Macaca mulatta: one gene and its partners. The protein of the gene in region 1 purifies or fractionates together with the protein of each later gene. This does not show direct contact. Links are inferred from orthologs where the notes say so. Each region holds a gene or a part of one and is shown on either strand. Other genes may lie near its edges.

Region 1 (3,984 bases):
GGCTGTATGTGGTGTACCCCATCCTTGGAGGGCACAGTCTCCCCAGGCCCAGGAACGTGGAGGGCACCCCCATCCAAGGACCCGTCCTGTCTTCAGCACCAGAATGAGTTGGGCCTCAGTGTTTTGGGGGCATAATTAGTCGTTTTGCCTTTTTTTTTTTTGAGACGGAGTCTTGCTCTGTCACCCAGGCTGGAGTATAGTGGCACGATCTTCACCTCCCGGGTTCACGCCATTCTCCTGCCTCAGCCTCCCAAGTAGCTGGGACTACGGGCGCCCGCCACCACACCTGGCTAATTTTTTGTATTTTTTTAGTAGAGATGGGGTTTCACCGTGTTAGCCAGGGTGGTCTTGATCTGCTGACCTTGTGATCCGCCCGCCTCGGCCTCCCAGAGTGCTGGGATTACAGGCGTGAGCCACTGCGTCCAGCCCGTTTTGCCTTTTTATGCTGTGCCACACTAAATTGGCATCAAGACCCTTGATGTTGTGGGGGGAGGGGCCGTGCATGGTGGCTCACACCTATAATCCCAGCACTTTGGGAGGCTGAGGTGGGCAGATCACCTGAAGTCAGGAGTTCAAGACCAGCCTGGCCAAGATGGTGAAACCTTATCTCTACTAAAAATACAAAAAATTAGCTGGGGGTGGTGGTGCATGCCTGTAATTCCAGCTACTTGGGAGGCTGAGGCAGAAGAATTGCTTGAACTCAGGAGGCAGAGGTTGCAGTGAGCTGAGATGGTGCCACTGCACTCCAGCCTGGGTGACAGATTGAGACACCATCTCAAATAAGTAAAAAAAAGTATGGAGGCCTGAGGACACACCTCTCCTGGCTTCCCCTGGACTCTGGGCCTGGGTCACAGACCAGGCACCTTCCACACCGGTGGCTCAGAAACTTTCAGGCGTTGCTGCTTTAAATCTGAGGACTGTGGGAGGCAGCTTTCTGCATCAAGAAAGCATCAGTTTCTGACCCGGCGCTGGTGTACTTGTCAGGAGGACTTATGGAGGGGTGAGGGAAGCCCTTTCTAAATATGTGGCTTTTAGGAGTGAAGGAGAGCTTGGTTAACACATACCGAGAGTTTTTTGTTTTTGATGAGTTTTTGTTTTTTTTTTTAATTTAAAAATTTTTTTTGAGACAGAGTTTCACTCTTGTTGCCCAGGCTGGAGTGCGATGGCCTGATCTCGGCTCACCACAACCTCCACCTCCTTGGTTCAAGCGCTTCTCCTGTCTTGGACTCCCAAGTAGCTCGGATCACAGGCATGCGCAACCACACCCGGCTAATTTTTTTGTATTTAGTAGAGATGGGGTTTTACCATATTGGTCAGGCTGGTCGTGAACTCCCGACCTCAGGTGATCCATCCGCCTTGGCCTCCCAGAGTGCTGGGATCTCAGGTGTGCACCACCAAGCCTGGCCTGTTGAGTTTATTTTTTAATAGTTTCAGATTTATAGCAAATTAAGAGCTCCCAATCCCCTAACCCCCAGGGGCTATTAACCTATTAACATCTCTCATGGGGCTGCATGGTAGGTTAGATGAGGCAACCTTCATGCCTTGTCATCACCTAAGGTTCCTGTTTCCAGTGGCCTCTTTATACTTTCCGGGGACTTTTCCCTTGCATGGAGAGTTGAGTTTAGGTTTAGGCTTTTTTTTTTTTGGAAACGGAGTTTGATTCTTCTTGCCCAGGTTGGAGTGCAATGGTGCGGTCTTGGCTCCACTGCAACCTCTGCCTCCTGGGTTCAAGCAATTCTCCTGCCTCGGCCTCCCAAGTAGCTGGGATTACAGGCATGAGCCACCACGCCCAACTAATTTTTTCATATTTTTATTAGAGATGGGGTTTCACCATGTTGGCCAGGCTAGTCTCGAACTCCTGACCTCAAGTGATCCACCTGCCTCGGCCTCCCAAAGTGTTGGGATTACAGGCGTGAGCCACTGCACCCAGCCAAGTTTAGGTTTTAAACAAAAAGGGGTAAAGGAAGAAACCAGAGAAGAATTGAGGCGCACTCGCTCGGACTCCCCCTTCCCTACAGGTCCCTTCCTCCCCAGCAGGGCAGCCTCTGCCTGTCCCAGCCTCTCGTGACCGGCACTGTCTGCCCTCTGTCCCCACCGGCCCCTCAGCACTCTCGAGTGGACCCTGAAGAGCTCTTCACCAAGCTTGACCGCATCGGCAAGGGCTCGTTTGGGGAGGTCTACAAGGGCATCGATAACCACACCAAGGAGGTGGTGGCCATCAAGATCATCGACCTGGAGGAGGCCGAGGATGAGATTGAGGACATCCAGCAGGAGATCACCGTCCTCAGCCAGTGCGACAGCCCCTACATCACCCGCTACTTTGGCTCCTACCTAAAGGTGCCTGTTGGGGGGAGGCGGCGGCGGCCCTGCTGGTGCTGTGCCCGGCCCTCTCTTCCATGTCAGAGGGACTGAGTGACATGCCAGAGGGTGCAAGGCGGCCTTGACAGTTCAGTGCATGCCCTCCAGGAAATTGCCCTGGGCAGGCAGGGTGCGAGCAGGGTCCACGAGGGTCATTCGGCTCTGAGTGGCCATTGGGACCCACTTGCCTGCCTGTGGTAATGCAGTGAGGGCGCTGCCAGGAGCACTCTGGGGCGCCCCTGCTGGCAGTGGTGAGGGCCTGTGAGGAGCAGGTTTCTGGTGGTGCCAGGGTCTGGGGTGTAGGGAACGCTGTGGCCATCCTGCCCAGGAAGATGATGGGTGTGTTGGGCCATGTGCTTGCCAGCCATGCCCTCTTCCCAGCCCTGTAGGACTGGCTCAGCAGCTTGGCTTTTGACGGGGTCTTGGTGAAGTAGACTCAGCCACTGTTCTGTGTACTCAGTCCGTCCTCTGAGCATCTGTAGCAGCAGTGTGGCAGGCGGGGAGATGGGCAAGGTCGAGGGAGCCCCTTCCTGTTTAGGGTTCTTGGCAGGGATGGGACCGGTGGGGCCTGGGCCCTGGCTGACTCCGGCCTGACTCCCACCCTGGAGCATGCCCTTCCTCTCACTGCCAAATGCTGATGGGTTTGTCTCCGGTCCCAGAGCACCAAGCTATGGATCATCATGGAGTACCTGGGCGGCGGCTCGGCACTGGACTTGGTGAGGCATAGGCCATGGCAGTGGGGGGTCATGCAGTGTCCGAGTCCCCTGCTCCTCAGACTCATGGGCTCCAGGGGCCACCTCTCGTTTGGTGTCATGGCACATTAGGTGTTAATTACGAATCGTCTAAAGCAAAAATGAACTGCCATCCGCACGTCTGCCCAGTTGGTGCTGAAAGGGGTCCTGGCCTGTGGGAGTGGGCGGGGGCAGGCACGCTGGGAGATGGTTGGGAGCCTGTTTTTCTGTTACATGACAGTAAAGTGAAGCTGGTTTATATGCTTTAGACCACCCCACTCCCGTCTGAAAGTTGTGTTTGAGAAGTAAAGGAACATGAAGCCCCCAGCTATCTGCAGGGACAGCCCTCCCCTGTCAGAGAGACAGGAGAACTCAGGCATTGGGCCTGGGACAGGAGCTGAGGCCCTGCTGTCCCACCTTCCTCTCCAGCTTAAACCAGGTCCCCTGGAGGAGACGTACATTGCCACGATCCTGCGGGAAATTCTGAAGGGCCTGGATTATCTGCACTCCGAACGCAAGATCCACCGAGACATCAAAGGTCCTGCTGGGGGTGAATGTGGCTCTTGTAATGTCCTGAGCCCCACTGACCTTAGAGAGGCTGGGGCCTGTGAGGGGCAAGTGGCTAGTGGTGCCCAGCGTCTGGGGTATAGAGAACCCTGTGGCCACCCTGAAACTGAGCAGTTGTCTTGCTCCATTTCCAGAAGATACTGTTTGTAACAGTTTCCTTGTACGCTGAGTAAACCAGCTGTGGACTGAGTGTAGGAACAGCCACGCTTAGCCAGAGTTGTTGGTTCCCGGTGGCTCACAGCACAACAGCAGGTGTAGGCTTGAGTAGCCCCAGCGTGTGGTCTGGCCCTGCTAAGTGCAGACATGAGGTTGGGCCAGCCTGTGGGGA
Region 2 (4,723 bases), on another chromosome or scaffold:
TGCCCAGGCTGGAGTGCAGTGGCATAATCCCAGTACTGAAACTTCGAACTCCTGGGCTCAAGCAACCCTCGTGCCTCGGCATCCCGAGTAGCTGGGACTACAGACAATGCACATTTCATACAAGAACTATTTGGTCATGTTGTGGGTTTTCTTTGGAACTGTGTCCCTCACAGTGTCTGGCACATAATAGATGCTCAAATAAAACCTACTATCTGTCCAAACCAAAACTTTAAATAGTTAATTCCTAAAGCAATTCAATGACATGGTAAGATCTGACAGAGTATCTGCTGTAACTAGATTAAGTGGTATAATAATCAATAATTACATCTATATCTAAAGTAGTGGTCTCATAGCCTGCGTGTTATTTTAGCTAATAAAGCAGAAGAGGGAAAAAAGTGAAAATGGTAGAAATAAGCCATATCTACCCTTCAAAGATAAGTTTTTCTGAAGAACAAATTTCATGGCCAGGCACGTTGGCCGCACTTTGGGAGGCCGAGGAGGGTGGATCACTTGAGGTCAGGCATTCAAGACCACCCTGGCCAACGTGGTGAAACCCAGTATCTACTAAGAATACAAAAATTAGCCGGGCATGATGGTACGTGCCTGTAATTCCAGCTACCCAGGAGGCTAAGACACGAGAATTGCTTGAACCCAGGAGGCAGAGGTTGCAGTGAACTGAGGTTGCGCCACTGCACTCTAGCCTGAGTAACAGAGTAGGACTTCATCTCAAAAAAAAAAAAAGAACAAATATTAACATGTCATCTCAATTCATGAAACAGTCACTATTGATCTATTCTTAGTTATCTCAAAATAACCTATTGTGAGAGTTTTATTACGGCCATGGAAAGCACTGTGCATGAAATCAGTATTTTTCAAATAAGTAAAACAAAAAATGAGAGTTCCCTTTGAGTGTTTAATCAAAGTGCGTTTGCAGAGTATGTACCGTGAGCAAACCTGTTGTCTAATTAGTTTAGACCTGTTGCCCAAGAACATAAAATGGCAAAAATGTAAAAGCTGGTTGAGTTAAGGCACTACTTAGTAGTAAACTGATATTTAAATTGAACTGCTGGAAAAATGAGCTCTATGAATATTCATTTTAAAGAATTATGAGGGCCAGGTGCGGTGGCTCACGCCTGTAATCCCAGCACTTTGGGAGGCTGAGGCAGGCGAATCAACTGAGGTCAGGAGTTCGAGACCGCCTGGCCAACACGGTGAAACCCTGTCTCTATTAAAAATACAAAAGTAGCCGGGCGTGGTGGCATGTACCTGTAATCCCAGTTACTTGGGAGGCTGAGGCAGGAGAATCACTTGAACCTGGGAGGCAGAGGTTGCAGTGAGCTGAGATAGCACCACTGCACTCCAGCCTGGGTGACAAGAGCAAAAATCTGTCTCAAAAAAAATTAGGCACCCTACGTTCAGCTTGGGGGTAGGGAGGAAGGGTCTGCTCCACAGGTAAATGACGATCTGGTGTTATACAGAAAAGTTAACATATTCTTCAGTTCTCATCCTACACTCCTACACGTAGAATAAAGTATAGATATTATGCAGCACACAGCACTTGGACAATCTTTTCCTCCTTTCTTCAAAAAATAATTTACAAAATAATTCCTTAAATCAGTAGCTGCCGAAGTATCATTTTTTTCTCTTCCTTTTAAGGCTCAGGTTTCTTTCATTTCAAAACATATTCTTGAAGACTTAAGTTCTTCCTTTAAGAAAGATTTAATTATTTAACTCAGAAAGAAGGGGCAAAAAGTCAGGAGGTGAAACCTGAGACAGTCCTATTAGTCTTACATAACTTAAAGTTGGAACTGATTCAGTAGCTCAGCTAAAAACCTGAGGTTTAGGCACAAAGATGAGCTCTTTAGTATACTATCCATAAACATAAATAAACAGTTTTTAAAAATGGAAAGGATCTTAATTTCTTTCATTTCTTAAAAGCACATACGTGTATAGTAACTTACGATACTAACATAAAAATACTAAATTGATTACGCTTAAAATGAAAAGCACTGAATTCATCCCATCACATTTAAGTAATGCTATAATTGACAGAATAGGGTATAATTTCAGAAAATAAGTTTATTTCCTAACACTAACTTTTGAATAGCACCTCTGTAAGAATGCACTAAGTACTTAATAAGTGCTGCAGGGAACATCAAAAAGTGATTTTCAAACGCAGTATGTGTATGTTCTCCAACTTGTAAAAAACACTCTGAAAATATATAAAGTTACAATTGTTCATGCTTAATTAAATTAGCTTTGATTATTGCAAATTATTCCTTCAAGAGCAAGTATGTATCAAACCTTTCAAAAATCTTAGGTTTATACCAGCAATTGTCCTTACTAGAAAGGTCCTGATCTGAACTCACCTAAAGCTATGTGTTAACTACATTTCACTACTAAGACACTTGAGCCCTGGGATAATAATGGCCACAGATTCCCCGAATTGCTCTGACAACTCCTGCTTGCTTAATAAAGCGCTGAACTGTGAATTCACCTTTCCAAGCAGACTGAAAGCAAGACGCCAAGTTTCACTATCTAGTTTGGTATTTCACTGGGAATGACCCCGTTATCAAGATGCCATAGACTTCCTGAGGCTTTTAATTACAATACCTTCTCTGTTTTCCATTCAACCACCTCAATCAAATTTCCACTAGAACCAGGCACCCAAACAGTTGTTTCGTGGCTTTGCGCAAAGCCTCTTCTGGATGCAAACCCTGGGATCCTGCATACATTAGGCCTCTCAGAAAGGGCAAAGCGGGGGAAACAAGTTTGTTAAACAATGCCGCTGGACAACGTGGTGACATTACCTTGCCCGTCTTGTGATCAAACCAGACGAGAGCGTGGTTCCTTGACAGCACTTTGCAATCAAAAGTGGCATTATTCTGCGCTGGTCGACAGCGGGCCACTGAGCGGCCGATTTTGATGGGCTCGTCCAGGTAGACATGACGCTCCTGAAACGGGTGCGAGTTCGGGCGGCAAGTGAAGATGGCCAAGGCTGACGGCATCGAGGATAGACTGGGGGTGTCTCTCCTACCAGGAACAAAGAGGAGTTCCTCTGGATCCGGACTGCCCTTCACAAGCCTATCCCCCTATCCCACCCAAAATTTTAAATTAACACAAACTGCACATTGTCTAAGCATAACCAGTGAACATCAACTCTTCACTTGGGTGGGAAGACAAGCCAGCGCAAGCCCCATCACCTCCTCTAAAACCCAGCAGCGCCCTGATCACAAAAAGTCCCCAACTGGCAGCTTTCAGTCCATCTTCTTCTCTGGGAAGAAAAGGCTCAAACATCGGGCAGCTTCCGCCAAGAAAACTCCTGGAACACAGTTTGGGGACTGGAGGTATCCAAGCAGATGAGTCACACGCCAATTCTTGTGTTTGGTTTGAGATCGCGGCCGCTTTTCCCCCTCGGTGGCGGAAACGTTGCAGCACTGCAGCATGAAGGAAGGGTCGGTTCGGCGCGGCCAGGAAAGTCCTTTTGGGCCGAAGGAAGGTGTGGCCGGGCACCTCTGGGCAGTCACCGCCCGTCCTTGCCCGCAGTGTAGAGGCTCTAGACGGCCGGCGGGACAGTCTGCATCGCCCCTGCTGCGCGGAGGCCGCCCCGGGAAGGGGGACGCGGTCCCCGGCCTGGCACGATCCGAGGCGGCGGTGGCTGAGGTCCTCCGCGCGAGGCGTGGAGGCCGGCAGGGCGCGGGCAGTAGCCGAGTCGGGACTCCCGGGCACCTGGTGAGCGTCCCCGCGACCAGGGCGGGGACCCGGCTCCGCAGGCCGGTGCTGACCGAGCGAGGCGCGACACCGGGAGGCGCGGGTTCCCAGGCGGCAGGAAGTTGGTCCCCGGACGCCTGGGCTCCTGTCCGCCGCTCAGCACATGGGCCGCCTCCCCTCAGGGTCGCCCCCGCGAGGGTCGCATCTCAGGGACGGCAGCCGCAGCTCCCGGCGGACGAGAAGGTGGGGGAGGGAGACTGGCCCGGAGGTTGGGGAGAGGCCTGGAGGCCCCGGGCTGGGTCCGCCGCAGCCTCCACCGATCGCGGCCGATGGGGCAAGCTCAAGCTGCGCCCGACGAGGCAGGAAACTTTCCGACCTGGTGGGGAAAATATCAAAACAAACGGCCGTCAGGCGCCTCAGCCCGCCAGCCTCAGCCCTCGGCTCCTCCAGCCAGACCCCCGCCAGCCCCCACCGCTAGGCACTACCTCCGCCGACCTCTCCGCAAGGAGGCTGCGAAGATTTGGAGCCAGGACGCCACGACGGGTGCTACCTCCTTAGCCGCCACCGCCGCCTCAGCTTACCTTGCCAGCGCCGGCCGCCATAGTGACTCTGACTGAAACCTACCCGGTGCACCGCCACGGGAACGCGCACCCTTCAAGGGCCCTCCTACCCCCTCTCCCGCGCCGTAGTCCAGGAATGTCACGTGAACGAAGCCACGGAAGCCGTGTTGGTAGAGGGCAGAAAAAAGGGCAAGCTAATTTTTAACAGGCCTCCAGGCGCCATCTTAGTTAAGGGCTGGAAGCTTCAAACCTCGGGACAACCTTAACGACCATTTTGGTTAAGGGAAAGAACAATTTGCGCGGTAGAAGGTTTTCTAAACAAACAGTACCACTTTCTTATTTTATCTACTTAGCAAGGAGGTGCCAACTTTTACTAAATTTTATTCTCTTTAATTCTCAATGAAAATACTAGCGAGCAAAAGAATAGACCCAGCCAAAGGGGATGGTCATCA
Region 3 (3,984 bases), on another chromosome or scaffold:
AATGTTAAGCCTGAGGAAGAAGAGGAAGTTCTTTAGCTTAATAGTGATTACTGAATTTATTTTAAACGTGATAAATGACTCCTTTATTATTTCAGCGAGATGCCGTATCCTATTTTTCTATTAAAGATAAACCCTATGTAGTTAACGTATACTGGCAGATTGCTGAGAGTAGATCTTAAATGCTCTCACCATAAAAAATAAGTATGTGAAGAAATGGACATGTTAATCAGCTTAATTGAATAATTTCACAATGTATACATACATCAAGACATCATAATATACACTATATATATATATAATTTTGTCAATTATACCTTAATAAAAAATATAAATAGACTCTAGCTCTGGCTTTGTCACTATTACCTGTAGGACCTTGGGCAAGTTATTTTTTCTTCCTGCCTTAGGCTCCTGATATGTAAAATGGGGTAAAAATGCCTAACTCAAGCTCATGGTGAGAATTAAAGGAGAAAAATGCTTATCACACTAACATGTTTGCACAACTATAGTGTGTTATTATCCCTCATTCAGCCATCCCAAGTAAAGTTACATAAAATTCAACTCGTTTTCAGTTTTGATTTAAAGCTTCATATTTTTAATTTTGGGCTTTTAAAAACAAAATGTTCTAAACCAAGCCCCTGGGTTCTACCTCCCTGTCTCTCTAGTTCAAAGGTCAGGCGCCCTCACCCTGCGATCCTGTGTGCAAGATTGTCGACTGGGCTCTGTCCGTCTGGCGTCAGCTTAACTCCTGCCTGGCCCGCTTGGGCACACCTGAAGCACTTCTTGGACCAGAATATTTCCTGTCTTGTCCTGTAGTTCCTGGACATGCCCAAGTGACAGTGAAGTAAGTGCCATTTTTCGTTAGTTTTCTGCTTATAATGGAGACATGGCCAATTCAGATGTTTGAGGGTGAGGATGCTGACCAGGCTGCCTTGCGCCACCTCCTGTCACTGATACAGAGTGCCAGTGCTCTCTGCTCTTCCAGAGGATGGCCACAGCTTGTCTACTGGGTGCTTCCCCTAGGGCAGCTGCATTTTTGCCGAGAGCTAGGTTTTTCCTCTATTAGAAAACTCTCATCCAAATTATGCTTGGCTTGCTATGCAGAGTCTCCTAAGTGAGGTCCCACATAAGAAGTTTCATCAAGTATTGTATGCACACCCTCCAAAAAACCTGCATTCTGTTAATGAATTGAAAAGCTTCTCCCTTTATTGAGACCTATGTTCAGTACTTACTGCGTTTTCCTTTGAAGCAGCTTATGAGAACAGACATATATACAATAAGGTTAATGAAACAGAAAATCAGGAGAAAATTGAAAGGAGAAAAAATCTGTTACCATCCAGTTTAGTCATGGTTCTGTGACCAGCAAGCAGATTTGATTCTGTAGTTTCTGGTGTCATAGGCAGAAGCCTGTCTTGGAAAGCAGGAGATTGAAATAATATCTTCTCAGCTGGGTGTAGTGGTTCATGCCTGTAATCCCATTGCTTTGGGAAGTTGAGAGGGGAGGATCACTTGAAAAATAATTAGCCAGGCATAGTGGCATGCACCTGCAGTCCTAGCTACTTGAGTTGGGAGGCTGAGGTAGGAGGATCAATTGAGCCCAGGAGGTCAAGACTGCAGTGAGCTTTGATTAAGCCCCCGAACTCCAGCCTGGGTGACAGAGCAAGACCCTGCCTCTAAAAAGTACATGTATATTTTCTCTGTTGTAAGACAAACCGCCATTTTTATAACAGCTAATTGGTGGGAAAGAAGTACTATATTAAATGTATATTTAGATTTTTGCTACAAAATAAATACACTTATTGATATAATTACCACTTTCTTCATTATTATGTCAATGAAATTAGTCTTTTTTACATCCAGAGTCTCAAGATTCTTAGGAACCAATTTTGACCTCTCCTATATGGAGTATAGTCTTTGTCAAGAACTGTGGAGGTTCCAAGATTTTTACCCTAGTTGCAAGCTACCATATTAGCCTGCCATGGTTGAGGATCTGAGTGAGGGCGCAGGACTTCATCATCCACAACACAGCAGGCAGCCTGAGCTTCACTTTTACATAGGTTCCCGTTACCCCTGAAGTCCCATGGGGTGATACATAGAAGCCCATGTGGATGCTGGATTTGCCTCACAGCTGTGGAACTCCCTACTTCCCATCCCTCCAAGGCTTCTAAAGAAGGATGCTGCAACTCTGTCGACCCTTAGCCCTGGAAGATGTTATTTTTATTATCCTGGTCAGGAAACAATTCTGCCCTCTGCTCCTGAAGGAGACCTTTATCTCTGTCTTCCAGGACTGAAAAGATAGTTCCGAACAAAAACTAACACCAGATGTGCAGAAATGCCGCAGATAATTGTCTACCAATGGCTAAGGAGTTGATTTTTTTTTTTCAAACCACAGCTTATCATATTTATGCTATAGCACTTTTAGGAATAACTGCATAATTTTGATTCATGCTGTAAAATACCAGAATTTTGTCTGTGTTCCCTATCGCACTTTTATTTTTCCCCGATTGCATAGCACTAGACATTAAGAGAGAAACTTGATGGATCGTAGTTTTTGACAATTCTTGAAAGATTCATGCAATGTCTAATAGCTTTGGAAACATTCCTGACCCGGGAGATGTGGTTTTGTTTCTATAGCCTTTAATCATATAAGTGTTTTTTAAATACTGTAACGAAGCATAATCTAGTTTTAATTTTGAGTGCTGCAAATTTGGGCTGAAGTCCCACTGTTTATGGCTATTAATGCAGACAGTCCACGTGAGGCGATAGCTGGTTGACCCCCATTCTCCCGATAGAACTGAGCCCACCCACACGCAACAGTGAGCCCTTGCCTTGGGACAGGCAGATTTAATTTACCAGTGATTATACAATAAATGTCAGGCTGGGCGCAGTGGTTCACACCTGCAATCCCAGCACTTTGGAAGGCCAAGGCAGGAAGATCACTTGAGGTCAGGAGTTTGAGACCAGTCTAGCCAACATGGTGAAACCCCATATCTACTAAAAGTACAAAACTTAGCCAGGCATGGTGGCACTTGCGGGTAATCCCAGCTACTTGGAAGGCAGAGGCATGGGAATTGCTTGAACCCAAGAGGCAGAGGTTGCAGTGAGCTGAGATTGTGCCTCAGCACTCCAGTCTGGGTGACAGAGCGAGACTGTCTCAAAAAAAAAAAAGATCCCAATTTCAGAAATATTAAAATACAATATACGTGTACTTTATTAAGGAGATATAACAAAGAAGTTGAAGCTATTTAGACATGGACTTTTAGGAAATCTTTTCCAGATTTCTTCAGTCTTTATATTTACCTTCCTTTCCATGTATTTATTCATGTATTCATTCACTCAGCACTCAAGCATTGATTCTACATTGAGAGAGACATGTAAACAACCAGTTTCATTTGAAATACATTGTATTTTTGAGAAAGATTCAAACTACTTTTGTATTGGGTAATTTCACTTATTTGAAAACTACCTGGGAAAGGTAGCATATCTATAGAAACACTTAACGTTTTTTCCCCATAGTCTTCAAACTGTCCTTTCGTAGAATTGTGTGTAATTATTGAGAAGCCTGCTCCTAAGGGATGAATCGGCCCCTCTCCTGCTAGGTGGATGTCTAAGCTGTGGAACGGCGTCATCGCGCCCAGAGTTCAAGAAGCAATATTGTCAAGAGCCTCTGTGAAAAGACAACCTGGCTTTGGACAGACAACTGCTAAAAGACACCCTAGCCAAGGACAGCAGGCTGTGGTCAAAGCTGCTCTCAGCATCTTGCTAAATAAAGCTGTACTGCATGGCTGTCCCCTCCCCAGAGCAGGTATGTGGGTTTCTGCAGAGAGGAGAGGAAATTCACACCCTTATAAAATACCTTTTAGAAGTTGTTTTTAGAGAGCTGTCTATCTTCTCTTTGTAATTAGAAAAGTATACATTTGATAGCAGTGTTCCAGAACTGTGATTTTTATTACTGGTTAATGTTTGAATTCTAGACCTCCAAGTAAA
Region 4 (3,984 bases), on another chromosome or scaffold:
GTCTCTCTCTAGTTTCCCCTTTCCTCAGTCTCTGGCAACCACTAATATTTCTGTCTGTATGGATTTGCCTATTCTGGACATTTTATATGAATGAAATGATAAAATATGCAGCTTTTTGTGATTGGCTTCTTAACATAATGTTTTTAAGGTTCATCTATGTTGTAGCATGTTATCCGTACTTCATTCCTGTTTATTACCAAATAATATTGCATTGTAAGGATACAGCACATTGTGCTTATCCATTCGTCATTTGATAGGCATTTGGATTATTTTACTTTTTTGGCTGGTAAGAATATATGCTACTATGAATATTTGTGTACACGTTTCTGTGTAGACATATGTTTTCAGTTTTCTTGGGTATATATGTAGAAGTAGAATGGATGGGTCACGTAATAACTCTGTTAAATTTTTTGAGGATCTGGCACGTTGTTTCCCAAAGCAACTACACCAAGCTTGTCCGACTTGTGACTTGCTGGCTGCATATGGTCCAGGATGGCTTTGAATGCAGCCCAATACAAATTTGCAAACTTTCTTAAAACATTATGAGATTTTTTTTTTAAAAAAAAAGGTCATCAGCTATCGTTAGTGTTAGTGTATTTTATGTGCGGCCTGACAATTCTTCTTCCAGTGTGCCCAGGGAAGCCAAAAGATTGGACACCTCTGAGCTACATCATTTTACATTCCATCAACAATGTATGGAAGGTTGCAATTTCTTCACATCCTCTCCAACAATTGTTATTGTCTTTTTCATTATAATCATCCTAGTGGGATATATTGAATTGCATTCTCCTAATGACTAGTTATTTTAATTAAACATCTTGTCATGTGCTTATTGGCCATTTGTATATCTTCTTTAGATAAATGTTTATTCAAATCCTTTGCCACTTTTAAAAATGGGGTTATTTTCATTTTATTGTTGAGTTGTAAGAGTTCTTTATACATTCTGGATACTAAGCTCTTATCAGATATTTGTTTATATGTATATTTCAGATATATTTGTATTTATATATCAGATATATATATTTGCAGATATTTTCATCCTGCATGTTTTTTCCCCATTAGTATCAGGAAGAAATTCAAGAACTTAATGAAGTCGCAAGACATCGGCCACGGTCCACGTTAGTTATGGGAATCCAGCAAGAAAACAGACAAATCAGAGAATTGCAACAAGAAAACAAAGGCAAGATACGTTACTTTTTGACATTAATCCCGTTTCTAGTCTGTATTCCTGAATCATATTTATTGCTCTTTATCCTGTCCCACATTTGAACGTCTGCCTTGCTTGACATCCTCTTAGATTCTCATCCTCAATAATCCAGTTAGCACTGCTGTTGTTAGCTATGAAATAACTCAGCTTCATTCTCTGCAGTCCCACTGCATTAGCCCCCAGATTAGATGCTCAGTCTCTTGCCTGAAATGTCCAAACTTATCTCCCTGATTCCGGTCTCTCTTCCCCCTTCCTGTCCAAGCTGTCTTCAATATGACCATCAGATTGATATTTCAAAAATCAATCTGATCGTGTAATTCTTTTTTTTTTTTTGAGACGGAGTCTTGCTCTTTCACCCAGGCTAGAGTGCCGTGGTGCCAGCTCAGCTCACTGCAAGCTCCGCCTCCTGGGGTCATGCCATTCTCCTGCCTCAGCCTCCCAAGTAGCTGGTACAACAGGCGCCTGCCACCACGCCCGGCTAATTTTTTGTATTTTTAGTAGAGATGGGGTTTCACCGTGTTAGCCAGGATGGTCTCAATCTCCTGACCTTGTTATCTGCCCGCCTCAACCTCTCAAAGTGCTGGGATTACAGGCGTGAGCCACTGTGCCCAGCCCTGATCATGTAATTCTTTTGCCTAAGAACTTTCATTGTATATGTATTACCTTTTACAGGGACCCTAAAAATCAATTCCCAGCCTTTTTTTTTTTTTTAAATCTTATTCCCACAGCTTTCTTCACCGTGAACCCTTTGCTCTTGCCAACACAAATCACTTCCTAAACACATCATCTGTTTTCATGCCTCCCTGCTTAGAAGGTCCTTTCCTTCACTTTTCAACTGAGGGAACTCACACTGTACTTTTACAAAGCTTCCACCAATTTTTTCCCACAGATATCTCTTAAATCTATTTGACTGACACTCCACTCTGCACCAACCACATGCTTGTTTTCTCTGCTAGACTCTTGAGGTCTGTGGCCCTTTGGTATTAATATAGAGAGAGCCTGGGCTGGTATTTAATTGCTGTTTAAGTACATCTTTGTTGAAATGATTCTCAAAAAATAAGGTTAAAATGCTCATTCAGAAATCTAATAAGGGACTTCATTTGGTGTCTCTTATTGTTATATGGCTAGATTTTTGTGCATTGTGTTTTCTTTTTAAAATGTCCTATTCATAAGTTGCTTAGTGGAAAATTTTATGTACTTTTAACTCAAGTTGGAATAAAGTACAATATTATTCTTGATAGAATTGCGTACATCTCTGGAAGAACATCAGTCGGCCTTGGAACTTATAATGAGCAAGTATCGAGAACAAATGTTCAGATTGCTAATGGCTAGCAAAAAAGATGATCCGGGTATAATAATGAAGTTAAAAGAGCAGCACTCCAAGGTAATCCATTCTATAAATGTGACCTGAAATGGAAAAGAGAGACGATTGATTATCCTGTGTTCAGATTTTTTTTGTAAAAAATCACAGGTATCTAGTAATGGCATTTTAACATGATGTTGAATGTTTCATCTTTTTAATTGCCATTTTCTCCTTTTTCTTATTTTTCCATTTCTTGCTTGTTATGTATCATTTTCTGTTTGATTTATAACTCTCACTGTTTCTTAGAAACTTTAATTTGTACATTGAAAAATAAGTTTTATTTTGGATATAAAGGTAAGTCTGTTCTATTCAACATTATTTTTGTAGGGCTATGTGCTTTTAAGAAATATTTCTTAAAAGGCTGGGCATGGTGGCTCGCGCCTATAATCCCAGCACTTTGGGAGGCCAAGGTAGGAGGATCGCTTGAGGCCAGAAGTTCAAGACCAGCCTGGGCAACATAGTGCGACTCCATCTCTTCAAAAAGTAAAAATACTAGCTGGGTGTGGTAGCACATGCCTGCAGTCCTAGCTTCTCAGGAGGCTGAGGTGGATAGACCGCTTCAGCTCAGGAGTTTGAGGTTACAGTGAGCTATGGTCATGCCAACTCCCATCTAGACAACCGAGTGAGACCCTGTCTCTTAAAAAACATAATTTTTTAATAATTTTTTTTGTTAATAAATTTGTGTATTGACTTCTCTTGCATAAACAAAAAATACTGAAAACTTTTTTGTAAAACCTGAAAGCAGTTTAATGTAGATTTGTTTTTCTTAGGACTATTTTCTGAATAAGGCTAATTCATCCAGACTATAAATCATCTTGTTTATTATAATGGAAAAAACATGGGGTTGAGGAGAAGAACCAACATATTAAAATTTTGCTCCCTTGCCCCAGTATTATATACCAATTGACATCATTTTTTAGAAACAAAGCTGAAGTAGTTAGAAATTAGTGTTTTACCTGCTTTTCATCCCTTTGTCATCCCTGTGTTTATTCCCTTTGGTATGGCTCCATATTTTATGGCAACTGCTATGAAGACAAGTAGAATAATCCTTTCTCACTTATATTTATTTTAAACTGAGTTTTAGTTGCTGATATGAAATAAAAATATTAAACTAGATTATGGAAACTTAAGCTGTTATCTGTATTAGATAATGATGATCTGACTATTATTATCAATATTATTTAAGAAATAGTGATTATGAGCCTTCTTTTCCCCATTTGTTACAGCAGAAATAGGAAAGGACGTCTTTTTATATTTCTCTATTATTGAAACACATTTTAGATTCTTTAAACTACTTCTTCCATTTTGGTGCTTGTAGGTGTTTTTCACTTATTAGTAATTAATTCTATTAGAATTAAATACCTATCAAATAGCTCTTTATATGCCTTTATATATTAGAAAACCTAATGATAGG
Region 5 (4,745 bases), on another chromosome or scaffold:
TTCACTTATGCTGCTATTGAGCACCTCCACACATAGTCTTGCTGTCCTTCATGTATAGAGATGACCCTCCCAAGCCTAAAATCAACAGGGGGAGGCATGGAGCTTTCCTTCTGGCTCTAATGTTTGCTTTACAATCATCCACACCCATTTTTAGTCCACCATGTGAGAGCCAGTGTGAAGTGAGCAGAATATGGCATAAGTTTGGAGTCATACATCCTTACTGGAAATTATTTACTATTTACTAGCTCTATGACTTTATTTGACTTCTCTGAATCTCTATCTTCTCATCTGTAAATTGGACACAATGGTGTCTATCCTACACTGTAGGACAGATTTCTCATACAGTACTGAAGATGACATCAAATACCATTTAAATGAAAGTACATGGCACAGTGATAACATGATAAATACTCGTTTACTTCTTTCAGACTATAATCGCACAGACTGATCACATCCCTCGGTCAGACTGTAAACTGCATGGGGCAGGCGGCATCTGCCTTGAGGACTGTTTGCCTAGGCAAGTACTAGGTCCCTAATGCTGTCTTGCGAATTATAATTGCTAAGTTTAGGGATAATGTATTAAGTGTACTACATTATTTGTGCATTATAAATATTCGTCTCAAATATTTACTATATTGTATTTAAAATAATGTGGTTATCGTAAATGTAACCAGCTGAATCAATCTGTGAGCTGACAGCCATTCTGTGGAAATGGAATTCAGAAACTTTGACTTCAGGTAGGGATACAACTAGTTATACATCCACTCCCCTTTCTGAGTTACTCGGTCCTGCCTAAGACTTGCTGCCACCAAGATCTGCATTCCTGTGTTCACAAGGCAGACATTCCTTGCATCCTCTGTACTCTCCATTGTTTAACTTCACGGCAAACACCATTCCCCGCAATATAATGAGGCCAAGGACAGAAAAAAGTCGCCTCAGCTGGCAAGCATAGTGTGGAAAAACCTGCCACACAAATTTGCAATTATTCGACTTCTGCCTGGAAAGCAGGTCGGCTGGATTTATGTCCCCCAAAATTAGTATTCTCTTCTGTACAAACTGTGGTTGAGAGAAGGGTGATCTCCAGGTGTTTCATCTTTGCACCCTTGCTTGCAGCACCACGCCCACAGTCGCGTCCAGAAAAAAGAAAAAAAGGGGGGAGCAAGGAAGCCAGGTTTTCAACAACTAATTCATTCTAATGCAGACATCAAAGCCCACTTCATTTATTAACATTCTGGAAAAAATCCCAATCGATCAGGCCACCAGAGCCCTCCTTTCCTAAACTCCCCGTACAGTCAGGGAAAAGCACTAAGCACTAGCCACGGTCCTGCCCAGAAACCACGCAGAGGTGGAAAGTTGCAGACCAAGGGCCGGGAGGGGCACGAGCCCATCCTGAAGCCCGGGACCGAGGACGGCGCTTCCTCCCGGAAGTGACGCGAGCTCAATCCCAGCCTTGCTCTTCCCAAACAAAAGGGATCTTGGGGCCCCGGGAGGAGCCTGAATGACATTGGAGAAGCTCCGCCTCCAGCCGGCGCGGATTGGGGACAATGCTGGAGAAGCAAGGAGGCGATTGGCGCTGGTGAATGCCAATGCCCCCGCCGGGCGGCTGAGGGGGCGGGGCCTCTGCCGCTGTGGATGGGGAGTAGAGGCGGAGGGGAGCGGAGCCCGGTGCGTCGTGGAAAGGTAGGAACCACACTCCCTGGGGCTTGATGATGGCTGAGAGGCCGGGTTCTCAAGAGCAAAGCAAGTATAGGGGCACCGGTAGCTTCCCGCCGCTGTCCTAACGGCCTCTGGGCCCATCCCCTGAGGGGGCGGGGCCATCTCCTCCACCTCCCGGTATTCCCCGAGGAGGCGGCTCCTCATCCTTTGAGGGTCCTCACAGCTACTTTTTGTCCCTCGTCGATTCCCAGCTCCTCAGAAGGGGCTTCCCTCTGATACCCCTCATTCAAAGGCTCTTCCCACCCCGCACCTCAGCCTTGGAGGAGAGGACTCACAGGTACCGTACCGATTCTCTAGGCTGCCGCCCCCAACCCCGTTTTGCACCCCCGGAAGGCCAGACATCCCTCCCTACACCTGTCTCTGCTCTCCAGGGTGGGACTGGAGCTGCTTTCCTCCGTAAGATAAAATTAGTGTTTCCCAAAAAAGAGGGATGGGGCGAAGCAAAAATCAAAGACCGACCTAGACAGCCAGCTTTACCGAGGAAACGGCTTCTCCCACTTAAGTTCTTCCCATCCCCCATTCTCTGATGCTCAGTCTTCCTCCCGCCGCCCCTCACATCCTCTGGCCTCTTGTGAGGAGTCGAGAGCTCTCCTGTTTTGGGACTTCTTTGGACTCTGAAAGAGGGAGAACTAGGACCTCCTCTCCCTCGCCCTTTGTACCTTTCTTCTACTTTCTGTTCCTTCTGGGAGAACCCAGCCTCTAAGGGTTTCTTAGGTTTGAATTGCGTTTCATTTTTCCTTTTCCACCCTATTTCTTCTCTGAGAACTTGATGAAAAGCCATGTTATATTTCACAGTGAGGTGGGTGTGTTGGATATCTGCAGAGTTGGCTTTGTGTGGGCAGGAATGCAGTGTATGTTGCTTGACAGTCAATGAATAACACCATGTTTTCAAATGAAACAGTATACATAAGTAAATAAATAGCAGTGGATTAGGAATGAGTATATCCCAGTCTAGGATGGGCTGGTCCATTGCTCAGGGAGACTGCAGTTAACCTTGAAGGTATACTGCAGTTTGAAACAAAAGGCAGGAAGTGTTTGAAGAAAATTCAGGGTCAGTCATCTAGGCTTATGATTAATCTAGTCCTGTGTCCTTTGGTTACTCTCTAACCCCTTTTTTATAGTGTCTCCCCCGCCCCCAGGAAACATTCATGTATATTTTGATTGGTTTTACGATCATCTATCAAAATTTAGACGATGAAAAGTAATTTTTTAATCTCAGAGATCAAAGTAAATAAAGGCAAGGTGTTCTAGCTATTCATGTTTACCAAAAAGTGCCTCTAGTGTGCTCCTAAAGGTTTTGTCAAGTGGCCTTCATTTCAGCAGGTGCAAAGTGTTGATTTTGACCTCAAGTTAATGTCGTTGAATCCCCAGTAATCATCTATCGCTAGCACTTTTATATATTAAAATTTACCATATTTTTAGCATAGTTTTTTTTTTGCTTTCAATCTCAAGTCCACCTCCCCGCTGTCAACTATAGCCAAAGCTGATGGCAATGAAGTTCAAGGAGTTGGAATCACAGAGGGTGATTGTAATGACTGTTGTCTTTTACCTTCTTGATTAGACTTCCTGAGGGTAATTATTTTTGAATAGTTAGAATTGAAGGTTTCAGAGTGCTCACAGATCTTCTTAGTGAGCGTTTCCAAATCTCCAATAAGAAAGCACAAAGAAGAAACTGGAGGGTGTCTCTAGCAAACACAATGTGTGCTGCAATAGAAGGGTAAAACATGGGCTCCCTGCAATAACAGCAGAAAAAGCTAAAAGTAGAACAGAAAATCCCAAAAAGATAAGTTGTATTACATCAGCAGAGAACAGAAAATAAACTAAGGTAAGAGACTAAGCAAACCAAAGTTGTGGTGATTGCTGAGCTTTAATAGGAAAAAGCAAATAATGTTCTTTTATTATTTAGCACAGTAAGCAAGATCTGTTTGTTACACTTTTGGGTCTTGAAAATCTTTCCTTTAACCTTTTCAACACCTGTTTGGTCATGCCAGATGAAGAAAAGCGTACTATGCAGGGGATATATGTCTGATCTCTCTCCTTGAATTATAAATTCTTTGAGGGCAGATAGTAGTATTTTTTGTTTTTCGTCTTTGTCTCTTTCACAGTTCCTGGTATATAGTATGACTTAATGAGTGTTTGTTTAACTTAGTTTGAAGCTGTCACCTTAGGGTAGACTGAAAGGCAATGCACTGATTAGATGTGGCACAACTTGTTAGTATAAACCGTCTACTTGTTGTCTTCATTTAACTTGATTTTCCCCATCTGCTGTCTTATGAAATTCCAGTGTCTTAAGTGACTAAAATTTTGAATTTCTTATAAAGAAATATCTGTGAGGCAGGATGTGGTGGCTCATCCCTGTAATCCTAGCTACTTGGGAGGCTGAGGCAGGAGGATTGCTTGAGCCCGGGTGTTTGAGGTTACAGTGAGCTATGATCATGCCACTGCACTCTCCAGCCTGGGCAGCAGAAAGAGACCCTGTCTCTTAAAAAAAAAAAACAGTTAAAAAAAAAAAAAAAATATATATATATATATATATATATATATATATATATATATATATATATAAAATCTACTGGTTAGAAAATACTATTTTTACTGTCATGAAATTTGCACCAGACTTAAGAACATAATGAGTGCTAATCATTTCAGGATTTTATTGTTTTAAATATCTGACCCGATAGGAATGAAGTGAATTTAGAAGAGCTCACTAGGGACTGATTGTTTACTGATTTTTGCTCAAGAATAGTTTCTGAGGCCAGGCTCCGTGGCTCACACCTGTAATCCCAGCACTTTGGGAAGCCGAGGCGGGTGGATCACGAGGTCAGGAGTTCGAGACCAGCCTGGCCAACATGATGAAACCACATCTCTACCAAAAATGTAAAAAATTAGCTGGGTGTGGTGACATGTACCTGCAATCCTAGCTACTCGGGAGGCTGAGGCAGGAGAATTGCTTGAACCCGGGAGACAGAGTTTGCAGTGAGCTAAGATTGCATCACTGCACTCCAGCCTGGGAAACAAAGTGAGACTCT
Region 6 (4,436 bases), on another chromosome or scaffold:
GATATGCATCAGCTCATAAGTAACCCTTCAGTATGTGAACATGGGGAATTTTTAAATACTGGGCTCTTCGATATGGATTTGTGTTACAGTCATGTTATCTTCTCACACCTTCCAAGATTTCAAAGGATCTGATGGCTGTAATTGCAGAGAATAAATGAGTAATCTTTAGTCTATTTCAGAAATAGAAGGCCAGATGATTCCCTTTCCATAAAGGATTAAGTTTTCATCCAATGCCAACTCTGATAAGGCCTTAGTCATTTCTGTGGGTGAAATCTGATCTGATGCAAGCAATGTTATTTTCATTTCTGAAAATTATCTATGTCCAGTGCATCAATCACCCAATAGGTCCACCCTCCAATAAAAATATTTGAAACGGAAAAAAAAATCAGTTGTAGTTTAACTACCCATTGGATGTTGGATACTACCTCTAAGTGGCTGTTTAACTTAAATTTGAATACTTTCACTGGCAGGAAGCTTACTACATTCCAAGGTGCCTTATTCTATCTTTGGACATATCACTTAGAAAGTTTATCTATCTGAGTAAACTGTCTCTTTCAAAGTTCAGGTTTTTTCCTCCATATGAGAATAAATAAAATCTATTTTTCTCTTCCAGTTGAAAGCCATTCAAATATTTAAAATATCTGTTTCCTAAAACTTTTAAGTCAGTAAAATGCATTCAATGTAATTTAAGATGAAGCTTATATTTCACTACATCTCACAGAAGTAGTAGGCTCCAACTTATACATCTAGAATTAAATGACACAGTACACACGAATGTACAATGACAACCATGAAGCACCTACAAACATAAGAACAATTACCGAGTCTCCCAAATTAGATAATAAGCAATCAAAGCATAGAAACTATGCCATGTTTGTTTTTTTTAAAAACCATACTTCTATCCCCTAATAACATAGTATGATGCTATGTGGTTCAGTTTATAAAAGGTTTATTGACTGCTTGCTATATGTCAGGTACTATGTTAGGAATAAAATGTGAATTCAAGTGCCTCACAACCAAGGAGCTTAAGTGAAATGTATAATAACCAACCAAGTATTTACTGGGCACCTTCAACACTAACTGACATTACGTTTGGTGTGAGGGCTAAGAATTAATGAACATTTTCAAAAGAGATCTTGGTGAGGGAGGGGGAACGTTAGTCCCATTCAAATAAAAGGACCTGAGCAACCACTATCCTTCTTTCTATTCATATCTTTACAAAGCCATGGCAAAATAAACAACAAATATGATAAACATGAAAGGAAAACAAGCTTACTTTTCTTCAAAAACAAGCACACATGGCCAGTCACAGTGGCTCATGCCTATAATCCCAGCACTTTGGAAGGCTAACGTGGGTTGATCGCTTGAGCCCAGGAGTTTCAGACCAGCCTGGGCAACATGGCGAAACCTCATCTCTACAAAAAAAAAAAAAAATAATAATAATAATAATAAAAAACCCCACAAAAATTAACAGGGCATGGTGGTGTGCACCTGTAGTCCCAGCTGCTCAGGAGGCAGAGGTGAGAGGATGGCTTGACCCCAGAAGGCAGAGGTTGCAGTGAGCTGAGATCGTGCCATTACACCACAGCCTGGTCGACAGAGCCAGACCCTGTCTCAAAAAGCAAAAAAACAAGCACACAATCTAAAACAATCTCAAGATTTCAATTTGGTTCATTTCAAATTTATTCGAAGTTTCTTACTGCAGAGTGAGACTGGTGAGCTTTCAGGACTGGTTCGGCATCCACAGCTTTTTTAGCAACCATTAACTGTAACATCTGTTTCCGGTACTTGCTCATGATGAGCTCCAAAGCATCCTGGTGTTCCTCCAAGGAAATCCACAGCTCTGTCAAAAAATAAAATAACTTGGCAGTGATGTCTGAGAGACAGTTCCCAAATCCAAAGTCTTAACAGTTAGAATTTTGCAATACTATAGAGATAATATGAATCCAAGGTTGTAAATCAATGTTTCAGTCTACAAAACTGAGCAGTTAAAGTCTATGTTAAAGGTAACTTTCTAGGCAGAGAAGCAAAATCTTGCAGTAACAACAACGGATATGTCATCAGAAGACATGGATTTGAGTTCAGTTCTGTAACTTGCTTGGTTAATACTCATAAGTAAATCATTTAGCTTCTCTGAGCCTATTTCTTAACAGCATTGTGATAGATAAAAATGAAGATATGAGAATACAGTAGAATGATATATGTGAAACCCCTCTGGTAAACAACTATTAATACTACAGTCATTAATAATGTACTAATCAAGCCTAAGAATATATACCCTTAGAGTAAAATTCTGCTGCTTCACCTTGCACAAACAAGAACATAAACAAAACCTTAAATCTTACCTTCAGTGTTTATATTAATATTTAAACATTAAATTTTAAGTCCATGAGGATATGAACTCTTTTGTTACACATCTGGAGATGCTTAAAAATAAACCATGCAATAATTCTAACTCTACATAGCCCCTCTTTGGTAAGCTGCTACAAAATCAGTCAGATGACCTTGAAATGGGTAATCTAACAAACTTTACTGTTACTGAGCCAGCACAGGAGGACTCTCCTACGAAAAGTACTGACCTGGAAATAGATGCACACCCTTGTGAATGTTTAGGGCAATTTTGCAGTAACTTTAAACTATTACCAGATATGAAAAGGCCTGACTAACCTCTGTTTTCCTGTTGCAAGTCTCTAATCTGTGTGTTCTCTTGAGACAGCAGAATGTGAGGTTTGTATTTGGACATGTCCTTCATATCGGATGCATCCTCTTGATACTGGACAAATAGAGACAGTCTAAGCATGCCTTAAAGAGAACAGCGGCAGATGCAACTCAAGTGGCAGAAGTCAGGGCTCTAGGGCAGGATTCTCAGCTCCGACCCAGGAAAAAGGTCTCACCGCCGCCCTCTGAGACCGGGAATAAATTTCAGGCCGAGTTCCCACTTTACCTCGCTCTCCACCCTTCAGTGCCCAGAATCCGAGAGCACTGGACTCCTACCCTCTGCCTGACCTGGTCCGGAAGCGCTGTCCCCGCCTCCCGCATAGCGGCTACCCGCCGGTGCAGCGCTGCCGACTGATCCACCAGCGACTCGGCAGCCGCATCGTGCTCCCGCAGCCTCTCCAGAAGCGTCTTGGCGTCTGTCAGGATCTTCTCGATGGTGCAGCTCATAGCAGCAGCACAACCCCAGCCCCTGCCGGGCTCAGCTACGCGACTCGCTCAGATCTTCTGGGAGTCTGTCTCAGCATTACTGGCGTCACTTCCGGGCACGTTTAAAAGGTGTCTTGGCAGACGCAAGAGGCGCCTGCGCAGTGGCACCCTATTTTGCGGGTTCACCCGCTTTTACCTGTGGCTTCCTTGCAGTCCTGCCTGACGCGGAGCCCCAGACCTGCCCTTACCACGCTCTTGGTTTCCAGTTGCCACAGCCTGGTGGTCAGGCCATGATGAGCTGGGCAGAAGGAAGGTCTCCTTTCCCCACTGGTTTTCATTGATGTGGATTGTTATTCAGTCACAGTTATTTTCTTTTTATTTTCATTTAATTTTTATTTATTTTTTTTCGTTTTTGAGACGGTATCTTGGTATCTTGCTCTTGTCGCCCAGACTGCAGTGCAGTGGCGCGATCTTGGCTCACTGCAACCTATGGCTCCCGGGTTCAAGCGATTCTCCTGCCTCAGCCTCCCGAGTAGCTGGGATTACAGGCATGCACCACCATGCCGGCTAATTTTTCTATTTTTAGTAGAAACGGGGTTTCACATGTTGGCCAGGCTGGTTTTGAACTCCTGACCTCAAGTGATCTGCCTGCCTCGGCCTCCCAAAGTGTTGGTGTGAACCACTGCGCCTGGCCTACTTTCATTTAAGTTTTAAAAAATTGTGGCAAAATGCACATAAAATTTAATATCTCAGCCATTTTTAAGTGTACAGTTCAGTAGTATATTCATATGGTTATACAGCCACCATCAGCATCCATTTCTAGAACTCCTTCGTCTTGCAGTACTGAAGTTCTGCACTCTTTAAACAATAACTCCTCATTCTTCCTTATCCCCAGCCCCTGGCAACCACCATTCTACTTTGTCTCTACAAATCTGACTATTCTGGGTACCTGACGTGAGTGAAATCATACAGCATTTATATTCATATAACTGCCTTGTTTCACTTAGCGTAATGTCCACGAGTTTCATCCACACAGTAGCATATGTTAGAATGTTCTTCCTTTTTAAGGCTGAATAATATGTATATGCCACGTTTTGTTTATCCATTCATCCGCTGGACAGTTGGGTTGCTTCCGCCTTTTGCTATTGTAAATAATGCTGCTATTACAACTGGCTCACGTCTGGCTGTTTGTTGCCTAGAGGCCAAAATCATGAGAAGTGACTGATGATGAAAGGAAAGCAGTTTTACTAATCAAACGCTCGCAGATGGGGAATGGCTACACTCATGCCTTC
Region 7 (4,414 bases), on another chromosome or scaffold:
GGAAAATAGAAGAACATAACCAGAAAGCTTAGGTTTATTATTCACTGAGGATTAAGGACTGTCAGAGTTGATTATCTCCTAGATTTTGTTCAGAAAGAGAGGATAATAATACTGACCCAATTAAGTAGCATGTTGGGTAGATTAAAGTGCTTTGTAAACATTAATTAAAGATGCAGGGAGTTAGGTGAGGCCAATGTGTTATTAGAGGAAAAGTTTTCTTCCCTTTAATCAGGTATCTCTTTCTGGGGAGGGCAAAGAAATGACCTCAGGACTAAGGCATTGGGGCTCAACCCTGAGTGGGGCCAGTGACTCAGTCATTCTGTGCAACCACTTCCTTCTTAGTTTTCTGTAAAATGGGAGTAAACACAAACATTTTGGGAATCTAGATTGTTATAACATTTGCCATTTGAGTATGCAACAAACCCTACAATTAATACAACCCCATAATCCTTGCTTTCTCCCTGCCTACCGAATTAAACCCAGTAACATTAACCTCCACCAACTTACAAAAGCCTTCCGCAACCAGCTATTAACCTTGGGAGATATTTCCACGGTGATAGCCTGAAGAAGAAAATGCAATGAGCCATGGGGTCAAAAATTCTCCCATGAGTTTCTTCAGCTGTCTGAACCTCAGCTTTCCTGCTCTGTAAAATGGGGTTAAGAAACCAGAAAAACATTTTAAGGATTAGATGAAATAATGTATTTGGTGTATGCACATTAAATGCTGTGTCTGAGGGTACAGGTATGCAATAAATTGCATCAGCATTATTAAGTATAAAATAGCCTCTCCAAGCTGATGATAATAAAAAAGAAAAGAAAAAATTAAAGGCCAAGTGCAGTGGCTCAGGCCTGTAATCCCAGCACTTTGGGAGGCTGAAGTGAGAGGATCGCTTGAGCCCAGGAGTTCGAGACCAGCCTGGGCAATATAATGAGACCCCCCACCCATCTCTCCAAAAAATTTTAAATTAGCTGGGTGTGGTGGCGTGCACCTGTGGTACCAGCTACTTGGGAGGCTGAGCTGTGAGGATCACTTGAGCTTGGGAGGTGGAGGTTGCAGTGAGCCAAGATCACACAACGTGCACTCCAGCCTGGGCAACACAGCAAGACCCTGTCTCAAGAAAAATTAGATTAAATTAATGTCCCATCTCTTGCAAGTTTCAGACACACATCCCCACTGCTTTTCTCTGCGTGGGTCGCTCGGCGATGGGGTTGGGGATTTTCACGGTGATGTCCCCCAACTCGAACTTCACACCTTGACCGAGGGCACCCGGGAGGCGGCCGCGGGGTCCTGCAGCGCGGCGGGGCCTGGCCCTTTAAGCGCCGCGGGCGCGCGCAGTGCGTGCCTGAGGATCGCGAGTCCCGGCGGCGCGAGCGCGCGGTGGGCGGTGGAGCGCGCACGGGTGGGCGCGCACGGGGGAGAGCGCGCGGCGGGGCGGCCTGGGACAATCTGCGCCGGACGGGCGGCGGCGTGAGGGCTCCGGCGTCAGGGCTCAGGGTCGCTGGCGGCGTGGACACCTGAGTCCCGGAGTAGGGCTCTCCCGCGAGGTGAGTGCGGCCCTAGGACTCCGGGCACGGCTGGAGCGGCGGGAGGGCGTCCTGGCGGCGGTGGCGGCACTGGGGTCTGGCTGGGACGCCGGCGGGTCGGGCAGAGAGGGGGCGCCGGACCCTGCCTTGCGCGCTTCTCGCTCCGACTGGGGGAGCCCGGCGCTGCCGCAGAGGCCACCCGGTACCCGAACCCTGACCCCGGGGCGTCGCTGCCTCCTCGGGGACCTCTGAGTCGGGGCGCGGCGGGGAGCGCGCTGGGTTCCGAGTCTGGGGCTGTCCTGGGGGCGCAGGGGTGGAGGCGGGTTTCCCAGCCTTGGGCGCAGAGCGTCCCCGCTGTCCCCGACGCCTGTCCCCCAGCCCGGGACCGCTCTCCCTTGCGCTGTGGGACCCCCATGCGGCCTCGCGGAGAGGGTGCGGGTCCGACACGGCGGGCGGAGCCACCTGTTCCACCCGGGCCCCCAGGTCCTGGAATCACGCGGGAATGTGCAGGGTCTGCCCAACCCAGCCGGCGGGAGGGACTAAAATAGAGGAGAAAATGTGACCCGTGTGATGAAATTGAACAAAAGGCAATAAAATAAACTCCAGTATTTCTCCAAGGCTTTGAAAGTTTCCCAGTATTGTTTTACGGAGTCTAAATTTAAGCATCTAGTTGTTTGGTGTATTTTTTTTTTTCCCTTAACCGCAGGAACTAACCTCAGAAAACTTTTAACTCTTTACCAGAACCTCGTGCGTGCAGAGCAGAGAAGTTAAAAGTGAGTGAAGGAAAATGACTGTGTGTGTCTTTTTCCACCCTAAACAGAGTAAAACGTTCAGATCTGTAGGAAGAAGGTTCTTTCTGGCTCCAATTTTAACGGAGATCATTTTTTAAAAATCTGTATTTCTGAAAGGTATCGAAAGACCAAACCAGGCATACGTGGAAACTTGAGGGAAATGCTCATAGGAGAAAACTTTATTAAAAATACTTTTCTACGTTATTTTTTAAAAACACTACATAAAAGTGTCCCAGCATGCACTAAAACGTTTGCCCTCCAAGTTCTGTGTCTGAATTTTACTGGTTGTTTTTCTAGGTGGAGGAGGTATTTTCGTTCGTGAAGCCAATGTGGAAATACAAACAAATGCCCTATTGACTTGGGATTGGGTGGGAAGGATGGAAGTTGTCTAAAATCTTTCTTGCCAAAGTTGACAGCGTATGTATGGAATCTTGTGTGTTTTCTTGTCCAGACTAGTAATAGCCATTTTAATGCGATTGGATTATATCCCTTGGTAACAGCACTTCAGATGAGCTTTCTTTGAAAATTTTAGATGCTGACGATTTAAAAGTAACGTATTTTCTCCATTACTAGAAATCAGAAATCCAAAATTAGAGTGATAGTGGAGCGAAAGCTGGGAAGAGGAGCGATGCTTTTAGGAAAGTTTGAGCGTGTTTGAATCTCTGGTTACGGAGGGGTCGCGGGGGGGTGGGATTTGCTCGTTAATTCATTCAGGAATATTTGTAGACTGACCACCTACAGCGCGCAGAGCCGTGACTGGACATCCAGCATACAGTCTTTTCTAGATAACAGCCACATGGCCCAAACTGATTAAAACCAGATGAAGCAAGCCTTCATCAGCAGCTGAAGAGATACCTGGCCTTGGTTCCAAAGTTCTCAGACACCCGAGGCGCCCAGAGTTGGCACTGTGTGTTGATTTGGAAGATCATCTCAGATAACTCCAGGAGTGGAGCCTGGAAACCTGAAGGGGGAGAGAGGAAGGGCCTGGGTAGAGCAGAGCTGAGAACAGGGGAGCCTCTAGAACTAGAAGTTCAAGTGCATCTTATCTGCAGTGTTGTGGGACAGCTGCCAGTGGCACAGAGGCCATTCGGGAGGTGCCAGGGGAATCCTAGGAGCATCCCAGAACCCGAGCTCTTTCCTTTGACGGTGAAGGCCATCGCCGCGTGTCACCTTTCTTTGCACTTGGTGGCTTCCTAGCTGCCTGTGTGCTCTGAGAAGAGGGCCTGGTAACTCTGCCCCTGATAGACTGCAGCCATCCCCGCTCCACTCTGAGGGGTCTCCTGGCCACCATAGGAAAGCCTGTGTTCACGGAGGCGCTGCCCTCTGCACGGGTTATGTCCAGCCAGTGGCAACAACAGCCTCTGTCTGCGGAACCCACAGGGAAGCTGCCCCTGTCCATAATGCCCTTGTCCCCTTTCTAGACTGGCAGCATTCATCTTGAAAACTAAGAGTATTTTAAGAAAGTTGGTGCTGGGTTTGTAATCTGTGCATTCAGGATGGGCAGGAAAGGATCATATGGGGAGAGCATTCTGCCTTGCCGGACAGGGATGGGAGAGCTCTTCGTGAACGTGTCTTCAGACTGGGTACTGCCAGAGACTCTAGCACCGTGAAGACTTGATGCTGTTTATCTTTTTTATTATAGTCAAATACATAGAACATAAAATTTACCACTTTAAAGGGCACAAATCAGTGGCATTAAGTACATTCCATTCCCAATGTTAGGCAATCATCACCACTGTCGAGTTCCAGAACTTTTTCATCACTCCAAAAGGAAACCCATTAAGCAGACGATTCCCGTTCCCCTCTCCCAACCCCTGGCAACCACTGATCTCCTTCTGTCTTGGTAGACTTGCCCCTTCTGGATGTTTATACACGTGGAATCTTAGAATCTGTGGCCTCTTGTGTCTGGTGTCTTTGACTTAGCACAATGTTTTCAAGGTCCGTCCATGTCGCAGCGTGCATCGTTGCTTCCCTCCTTTTGATGGCTGAATAATGTTCCATTGTGTGGACAGATCGCATTCTATTCGCCCATTCATCAGATGAATGACTTTGCGTTGTTTCCACCTTTTGGCTATTGTGAATAGTACTGCTGTGAACCG

What was found.
Region 2: the proteins of STK25 (region 1) and SLMAP purify together in Homo sapiens (affinity purification with mass spectrometry; 5 studies listed by BioGRID and IntAct, with this or other methods). This does not show direct contact. The link is inferred for Macaca mulatta from reciprocal best matches to the Homo sapiens genes STK25 and SLMAP.
Region 3: the proteins of STK25 (region 1) and CTTNBP2 purify together in Homo sapiens (affinity purification with mass spectrometry; 3 studies listed by BioGRID and IntAct, with this or other methods). This does not show direct contact. The link is inferred for Macaca mulatta from reciprocal best matches to the Homo sapiens genes STK25 and CTTNBP2.
Region 4: the proteins of STK25 (region 1) and FGFR1OP2 purify together in Homo sapiens (affinity purification with mass spectrometry; 5 studies listed by BioGRID and IntAct, with this or other methods). This does not show direct contact. The link is inferred for Macaca mulatta from reciprocal best matches to the Homo sapiens genes STK25 and FGFR1OP2.
Region 5: the proteins of STK25 (region 1) and CTTNBP2NL purify together in Homo sapiens (affinity purification with mass spectrometry; 6 studies listed by BioGRID and IntAct, counting the BioPlex papers as one, with this or other methods). This does not show direct contact. The link is inferred for Macaca mulatta from reciprocal best matches to the Homo sapiens genes STK25 and CTTNBP2NL.
Region 6: the proteins of STK25 (region 1) and SIKE1 purify together in Homo sapiens (affinity purification with mass spectrometry; 4 studies listed by BioGRID and IntAct, with this or other methods). This does not show direct contact. The link is inferred for Macaca mulatta from reciprocal best matches to the Homo sapiens genes STK25 and SIKE1.
Region 7: the proteins of STK25 (region 1) and PROSER2 purify together in Homo sapiens (affinity purification with mass spectrometry; 3 studies listed by BioGRID and IntAct, counting the BioPlex papers as one, with this or other methods). This does not show direct contact. The link is inferred for Macaca mulatta from reciprocal best matches to the Homo sapiens genes STK25 and PROSER2.

The regions. Positions count from the first base shown.
Region 1 is NC_133417.1:146,793,279-146,797,262, reverse strand, and holds part of STK25 (serine/threonine-protein kinase 25), read left to right. Parts: intron 1-1,151; exon of another isoform or gene 1,152-2,106; coding exon 2,107-2,337; intron 2,338-3,017; coding exon 3,018-3,074; intron 3,075-3,518; coding exon 3,519-3,627; intron 3,628-3,984. UniProt on the Homo sapiens protein: Oxidant stress-activated serine/threonine kinase that may play a role in the response to environmental stress.
Region 2 is NC_133407.1:121,296,001-121,300,723, reverse strand, and holds the start of SLMAP (sarcolemmal membrane-associated protein), read right to left. Parts: upstream 3,216-4,723; 5' UTR 3,009-3,215; coding exon 2,811-3,008; intron 1-2,810. UniProt on the Homo sapiens protein: Associates with the striatin-interacting phosphatase and kinase (STRIPAK) core complex, forming the extended (SIKE1:SLMAP)STRIPAK complex.
Region 3 is NC_133408.1:157,262,608-157,266,591, reverse strand, and holds part of CTTNBP2 (cortactin-binding protein 2), read left to right. Parts: intron 1-662; coding exon 663-841; intron 842-2,282; coding exon of another isoform or gene 2,283-2,313; exon of another isoform or gene 2,314-2,343; intron 2,344-3,596; coding exon 3,597-3,802; intron 3,803-3,984. UniProt on the Homo sapiens protein: Regulates the dendritic spine distribution of CTTN/cortactin in hippocampal neurons, and thus controls dendritic spinogenesis and dendritic spine maintenance.
Region 4 is NC_133416.1:29,318,336-29,322,319, forward strand, and holds part of FGFR1OP2 (FGFR1 oncogene partner 2), read left to right. Parts: intron 1-1,062; coding exon 1,063-1,180; intron 1,181-2,448; coding exon 2,449-2,591; intron 2,592-3,984. UniProt on the Homo sapiens protein: May be involved in wound healing pathway.
Region 5 is NC_133406.1:127,871,336-127,876,080, reverse strand, and holds the start of CTTNBP2NL (CTTNBP2 N-terminal-like protein), read left to right. Parts: upstream 1-1,635; 5' UTR 1,636-1,680; exon of another isoform or gene 1,681-1,993; intron 1,994-4,745. UniProt on the Homo sapiens protein: Regulates lamellipodial actin dynamics in a CTTN-dependent manner. Associates with core striatin-interacting phosphatase and kinase (STRIPAK) complex to form CTTNBP2NL-STRIPAK complexes.
Region 6 is NC_133406.1:125,473,201-125,477,636, reverse strand, and holds the start of SIKE1 (suppressor of IKBKE 1), read right to left. Parts: upstream 3,227-4,436; 5' UTR 3,166-3,226; coding exon 3,007-3,165; coding exon of another isoform or gene 2,995-3,006; intron 2,774-2,994; coding exon 2,668-2,773; intron 1,844-2,667; coding exon 1,701-1,843; intron 1-1,700.
Region 7 is NC_133414.1:13,358,769-13,363,182, forward strand, and holds the start of PROSER2 (proline and serine-rich protein 2), read left to right. Parts: upstream 1-1,330; 5' UTR 1,331-1,545; intron 1,546-4,414.